Callithrix jacchus: one gene and its partner. The protein of the gene in region 1 purifies or fractionates together with the protein of each later gene. This does not show direct contact. Links are inferred from orthologs where the notes say so. Each region holds a gene or a part of one and is shown in the gene's direction. Other genes may lie near its edges.

Evidence for each region. Proteins that work in one complex are often made in the same cells at the same time.
Region 2: the proteins of NOP58 (region 1) and NUFIP1 purify together in Homo sapiens (co-immunoprecipitation; 3 studies listed by BioGRID and IntAct, with this or other methods). This does not show direct contact. The link is inferred for Callithrix jacchus from reciprocal best matches to the Homo sapiens genes NOP58 and NUFIP1.

The regions. Positions count from the first base shown.
Region 1 is NC_133507.1:123,462,920-123,466,569, forward strand, and holds part of NOP58 (nucleolar protein 58), read left to right. Parts: intron 1-2,138; coding exon 2,139-2,302; intron 2,303-3,650. UniProt on the Homo sapiens protein: Required for the biogenesis of box C/D snoRNAs such as U3, U8 and U14 snoRNAs. Part of the small subunit (SSU) processome, first precursor of the small eukaryotic ribosomal subunit.
Region 2 is NC_133506.1:164,198,175-164,201,924, reverse strand, and holds the start of NUFIP1 (FMR1-interacting protein NUFIP1), read left to right. Parts: upstream 1-1,165; 5' UTR 1,166-1,201; coding exon 1,202-1,616; intron 1,617-3,750. Other genes in the region: GPALPP1 (GPALPP motifs-containing protein 1), read right to left, coding at 895-982. UniProt on the Homo sapiens protein: Binds RNA.

The DNA.
Region 1 (3,650 bases):
ATAACTCTTTTTTTGTTTTTTTGGGTTTTTTTTGGCATGGAGTTTTACTCTGTTGCACTGGCTGGAGTGCTGTGGCACAGTCTCTGCTCACTGCAACCTCTGCCTCCCGGGTTCAAGCAATTCCCCTGCCTCAGCCTCCCAAGTTGCTGGGGTTACAGGCGCCCACCACCATGCCTGGCTAATTTTTGTATTTTTAGTTGAGATGGGGTTTCACTGTGTTGGCCAAGCTGGTCTCAAACTTTTGACCTCAGGTGATCCACCTGCCTCGGCCTTGCAAAGTGCTGGATAAATTACAGGCAGGAGCCACTGCGTGCAGTCTGGCATAATTTCTTTAGCTGCATCATTAATCAGAGGTTTCATTCAAGTGCCTGCAGCTGTAAGATCAGATGATTTCATTTTCTTCACCTGTTTTCATGCATACAGCTAAAGTTGTAGCACTAATCGATGGCAGGGGTTAATAGAAGTATGTATTTGTTGGCTGGGCACCGTGGCTCACACCTGTAATCCCAGTACTTTGGGAGGCCGAGGTGGGTGGATCACCTGAGGTTGGGAATTTGAGACAAGCCTGGCCAACATGTCTCTTACTAATAGCACAAAAATTAGCCGGCCATAGGGGCATTCACCTGTAATCCCAACTACTCAGGAGGCTGAGGCAGGAGAATCTCTTGAACCCAGGAGGCGGAGGTTGCACTGAGCCAAAATTGTGCCATTGCACTCCAGTCTGGGTGACAAGAGTAAAACTCCATCTCAAAAAAAGAAGTATGTATTTGTTGCACTTTAAAAAATATGTCTCATGGTAAAGTTTGTAGCATTAATGGTGAGTGTGCTTTCTGACAGGAAATATTCTATACAACATTTCCAGCTAAGCAGTATGTTGATAACTCACTAGTACAGTAGTCCCCAGCTATCCATGAGGATATATTCTGAGCCCCCCCACCCCCACCCATGGATGTTTGAAACAGAGGATAGTAGTGAACTCTGTGCTGTATATGCTGTTTTTTCCTAAACACACATACGTATGATAAAGTTTAATTTATAAGTTAGATACAGTAGGACATCAACAACAGTAATAATAAAACAATTATGACAATATCCCAGTGTCACTATTTTTCTGCATTGGTTACATGAACATAAGCACTGCAATATTGCACTGTGGAGAGGGCTAGGAAAGTGACTAATGGGTAGATAGGGATAATTCATATTCTCCCTATCTGAATATGGGGACTGAGTGCGGTGGCAAGAGATTTGAAACTTTGGAACTGTTTATTTCTGGAATTTCCTTTTTAATATTTTCAGACTGCAGTTGACCACAGTTAATTGAAACCACAGATAGGGAACTATTAGTATACTTCTAGGAATATATTTTCTTAATCCACAGCTGAATCAACAGAAGTAAATAAGTTGTGAATTTATTATAGGGTTATGCTACCGAGATGTCCTAATAAATGTGTTTGTTTGTAGGCTTTTTCATATCTTTTTGTTTGTTTGTTTTTGAGACGGAGTTTCGCTCTTGTTACCCAGGCTAGAGTGCAATGGCACAATCTTGGCTCACCCCCGCCTCAGCCTCCCGAGTGGCTGGGACTACAGGCGTGCACCACCGTGCCCAGCTAATTTTTGTATTTTTAGTAGAGATGGGGTTTCACCATGTCGACCAGGATGGTCTTGATCTCTTGACCTTGTGATCCACCCGCCTCGGCCTCCCAAAGTGCTGGGATTATAGGCATGAGCCACCGTGCCTGGCCAGGCTTTTTCATATCTAAAGCAATAGAATATTTAATACAATCTCAGAAAATAGGGGCCAGATTAGTGTTCTCGTGTGTGACATATTTGTGTTACTCCTGTAGTATACTAATGGAATATAGAATAGTACTACCATCTCTGGGGTGAATAGAAACATTGAACTAAAAAGCTTAACCTTCAGTTTGCCCTAGGCATTCATCACAAACCTGCTTGTACTGATGAAGGAATTAGAAACGAAACATCAGGCTTTTTAGGGAATTCTGGCTTAAAGAATTCTGTATTATATGTGATTTTTATTTTATTATGGTGGGCATAATAATTCTATAGGTCTTTTGTTTTAGTACATGGAACATTCAGATGTTTGGAAGTGCATTCTTTGTAACTTTCTTCTTTTGTAGGTTCTCTTTTGAATTTGGCCAAGCATGCAGCTTCTACAGTTCAAATTCTTGGAGCAGAAAAGGCACTTTTCAGAGCCCTCAAATCTAGACGGGATACCCCTAAGTATGGTCTCATTTATCATGCTTCACTCGTCGGCCAGACAAGTCCCAAGCACAAAGGAAAGGTGTGTTACATGGTTTTGTTTTTTGAGGTTGGACTTTTTTATTATATAACCACTTTTCTCTATAGTGCATATTAAATCTTCGTATAATCTCTTTCTTGTTAAATAGAGAAAGGTGAGTTATGTAAAAAGCATTTTGTGGTGGGGTACGGTGGCTCACGTTTGTAATCCCAACATTGGGGAGGCTGCGGTGGGTGGATCACCTGAGGTCAGGAGTTTGAGACCAGCCTGACCAACATGGAGAAACCCCATCTCTACTAAAAATAGAAAAATTATCCAGGCATGGTTGTGGGCGCCTATAGTCCCAGCTCCTCGGGAGGCTGAGGCAGGTCACTTGAGATCAGGAGTTGGGCCAGCCTGACCAACAGCTGAAGCCTGGGACTATAGGCACGTGCCACCATGCTCAGCTGTTTTTTGTATTTTTAGTAGAGATGGGGTTTCACCATGTTCACCAGCTCCTGGCTTCATGGTCCACCGCCTTGGCCTCCAAAGTGCTGGGATTACAAGTGTGAGCCACCGTGCCTGGCCTAAATTTGTAATAGCCTTATGAGATATACGTATCTCTGTTTTACTGATGGTGAAACTGAGGCTTAGACAAGTTAAGTACTTTCAGTCTTTTTGAATGATGTGTAGTTTAACAGAACTAAACTGAAATTTGATAAAATCTAGAGTAGAATGGTAGAGGTAATAAAGGGTTCAATAAAATAAACTTAAGAAAAAGAACCACACATATTTAAGATTATTATGGGTTAAAGATGCACTTGTTCTGAATGATCTCAAGGCACAGAACTAATGTCACTGAGTAGAAACTAAAGTTTAAAAATGTTAAAAAAAAGCCAGGCATGGTGGCTTATGCCTATAAATCCCAGCACTTTGAGGGGCCGAGATGGGTGGATCACAAGGTCAAGAGATCGAGACCATCCTGGTCAACATGGTGAAAACCCATCTCTACTAAAAATACAAAAATTAGCTGGGCATGGTGGTGCATGCCTGTAGTCCCAGCCACTCGAGAGGCTGAGGCAGGAGAATTGGTTGAACCCAGGAGACCGAGGTTGCGGTGAGCCGAGATCGCGCCATTGCACTCCAGCCTGGGTAACAAGAGCGAAACTTGGTCTCAAAAAAATAAAATAAAAATGTTTAAAAAAAAAAAAAAGGCCAGGCATAGTGGCACATGCCTGTAATCCAAGCTCTTTGGGAGGTCAGGGAGGCGGATCACAAGGACAGAGTTTGAGACCAGCCTGGACAACGTGGTGAAACTCCATCTCTACTAAAAATACAAAACTCAGCCAGGCATGGTGGCACATGCCTGTAATCCCGGCTGCTCATGCCTGTAATCCAAGCTCTTTGGGAG
Region 2 (3,750 bases), on another chromosome or scaffold:
TATGAACAAACATTAAAGCACATAGGTATGCATGGCGGAATGTGAGAAGCATCTGTTTGGTATACACGAAGTGCCTGTTGTGTTTTCTGGTACAAGACCATAGCGCATTGGTGGAGAGAGATGTGTCGACAAATTATTCAGATACAAATGTACTAAATACGCAATGTAATTAGGAAAAAACCCGAGGGCAAAAAGAAAGGCGTGACAATGCTTCGGGGAATTTGGAATGGTTTTATTGTGTGACATGTTAGTTGGCCCTTGAAGGATAGGTAGAAGTTTGTTAGTTATGTTTAGAAATGCAACCAGAGGAAGCCCATAAGCCTGGAGCGTTAAGAAACTGCGCAGAAACACAGGCTGGTGGTTTGAGTATTGGGCTGTGTGTGTCAGATGCAATAATAGAATGAGAGGCTAGGAAGGCAGGTCGGGGCTGGAGAGAACAGGATCTGCAAGCTTCTTGTACATCAGAAGGCAAATATGGCACAGAGGTTAGGAGAACCGCTTCCTTCTAAGTCGCGCTCCAGCACTTGCTAGCAGTATGCTGCAGACCCTGGCAATGGGCGTACCCATCTGCAACTTGGGAAAATAGTCTTTTCCTCCTACGGATTAAATGACTGAATGGGTATCAGTCAGTTAGGGCAGCTTGCAGCTCACATTAAGCGCTAAATGAGAATGTACTGTCATTACGAAGATTACCACGCCAAAACTCGGTTTCTAGGAGGGTACCCCAGCCTCTTCCCTACTGCTACCGTTTGGGAAGAAAAGTCCTCTCGGGTCGGGCCGTGCCCACTCCCCACTCCTCCGTCCTCCTAGGCTTCCGACCTTTCTTCAGCGTGCAGGGCCCGGCCAGGGAGGGGGTAGATAGGCCTGGTGGGCTGCGGAGACGCGGCCGCTTACCGGGGCTCGGATCCCGCTCTTCGTCCTCCGCTGTTCCGCGGGCCTTGAAGCCGGGCGGCAGGGCCGGTCCGATCAGGTCCCTTGCCATCCGCAGTGGCGGACACTGGTCACAGATACGAGTCTATCCAGGTACGTCAAACCTATCCCAAAGTAATCCCGCGATCCGCAGAGAAGAATGGAAGGTTTCCCGGCGCCGACTGATGACGTAAAGTCTGTGGTTGGCTGGGCCGCGTGGTTTACGGCAACGGAAGTGACGTCTAATGCTTGCTCCGCAGTCGCGTGCTAGACTCAGGACCCGGCAGAAGGTATGGCTGAGCCGGCTGGTGATTTCGTAAGTCCTGCCGGGTGGCGTGAGTCTCCCGAGCTGACTCCCACGTTAGGGCCTCAGAGCGACACTGCCCTGCGGCGGGACAGCTGGATGCTCTGGACAATGCTGCCGCCGCCACCGCCACCGCTTACGTCTTCGTCTCCCTCAGCCGGGTCAAAGGCTTCCTCTGAGTCGCAGCCCCCCGCGGAGGCCCAGTCTCTCCCCGGGGCGCCGCCCCCCTTCGACGCCCAGATTCTTCCCGGGGCGCAACCCCCCTTCGATGCCCAGTTCCCCCTTGATTCTCAGCCTCAACCCAATGGCCAGCCTTCCTGGAATTTCCACGCTTCCACATCATGGTATTGGAGACAGTCTTCTGATAGATTTTCTCGTCATCAGAAGTCCTTCAATCCTCCAGGTAGGCTATTCCTCCAGGTGGGTCGACCCCTTTACCTTTTTTCCGTTCTTTCCTCTGCACTTTCCGTTTCCTCTCTCCACTCTGCCTTGCCTCTGCACTCTTGGAGTCTGGTCATTAATGTCTCAAAATATGTCTGACTAGAATGTTTCCCTGTTGCCTGTTAATTCCATTTAGCAGTTACTTACTGAATTCAACTATGTATCAGAATCTGGGTATATAGCAGTGAGCAGAACATACAAAAAAAATTCTTGTCTTTGTGGAGCTTAATATTAATATCTCTCGTGTGGGAAGACAGACAATAAGCAAAATAAAATATTGTGCATTAGAAGGTTATGAGTGCAGTGGAGTGAGATAAAGAAGAATGATAGGTAGTATGGGTTTGTTTTTTTTGTTTGTTTGTTGTGGGGGGTAGAGTGTCCCTACGTCTCTCCGGCTGGAGTGAAGAGTAGCGCGAGCTACTTCACTCCAGCTTATGCAACCTCTGCAGAGAGGCTCACTGCAACCACTGCCTCCCGAGTTCAAGCAATTCTCATGCCTCAAACTCCCGAGCTGGGATTATGGGCCCACGCTACCAGGCCCGGCTTATTTTTTATATTTTTAGTAGAGATGGGGTTGCACGGTGTTGGCCAGGCCTTCCTGGATCTCCTGAGTTCCGGCAATCCGCCCTCCTCGCCTCCCAAAGTGTTGGGATTACAGGCGTGAGTCACCTCGCCTGGCCAGGTAGTGCAGTTTTTTTTTTTTTTTTTTCCTGAGACGGAGTTTTGCTCTTGTTACCCAGGCTGGAGTGCAATGGCGCGATCTCGGCTCACCGCAACCTCCGCCTCCTGGGTTCAAGCAATTCTCCTGCCTCAGCCTCCCCATAGGTGGGACTAGAGGCGCGCGCCACCATGCCCAGCTAAGTTTTGTATTTTTAGTAGAGACGGGGTTTCACCATGTTGACCAGGATGGTCTCGATCTCTTGACCTCGTGATCCACCCACCTCGGCCTCCCAAAGTGCTGGGATTATAGGCGTGAGCCATCGCGCCCGGCCTGGTAGTGCAGTTTTAAATGTCATTTTAGTCACAAGGAAGGTGACATATTAGCAAAGACTTCAAGGAGGCGAGGGTTCACAACCATACATACATCTGGGAGAATAGGGGTACAGGCTCAAGGAACTGCAAGTGCAAAGGCCTTAAGGCTTAGAAGCTATACATCAGAATGGGAAGCAGTCTGGCTACAGAGGACTGAGCCTGGAGTGTGGAAGATGGGGGAAGAGGATAAGACCTGGTAGGTCTTCGTAGATTGTGGGACGTTGACTTTTACTGTCGTGAGGTGGATAGTAGAGGGGAGTGACATGATCCGATTTATGCTCTAAGAGGTTTAATGTGTCTGTTGATGGGAATTGACTGAAAGGAAAACTGGTTAGGAGCTATTGTAGTTACTTGTCTGAATGAGAGATATTGGAGACTTGGACCGGGGCGAAGCTCAAGGGATGGTGAGAAGTAGTCAGATTCTGGATCCAGGGATACCTTGGAGCTCTTGGGGGTTCAGTCACAGACCACTGCAGTAAAGCAAGTCAGACACTTTGTTTTTCCCAGTGCATATAAAAATTTTCCTGCAGGTCATATGGGGCAAAAAAGTTATTTTTACATTTTATCATAGTCTGTTAAGCGTGCATATTATTATGTCCAAAAAAAACTTATGTACCTTGATTAAAAAATACTTTAGGCTGGGCAGGATGGCTCACGCCTATAATCTCAGCACTTTATTTATTTTTTGAGGCAGGGTCTCTGTTGCCTAGGCTGGAGTGCAGTGGCGCGATCTTGACTCACTGCAACCTCTGCCTCCCAGGTTCAAGTGATTCTCCTGCCTCAGCCATCCAAGTAGCTGGGATTACAGGTGCCTGCCACCACGCCTGGCAAATTTTTGTATTTTTAGTAGAGATGAGGTTTCACCATGTTGACCAGGCTGATCTTGAACTGCAGTCCTCAAGTAATTCACCCTCCCTGTGAAGGTGCTGGGATTACAAGTGTGAGCCACTGTATCCACCCTCATCTCAGCACTTTGGGAGGCTGAGGCAAGAGGATTGCTTCAGCCTAGGAATCTGAGACCTGTCTGGGCAAGAAAGTAAGACCCCCATCTCTACAAAAAATAA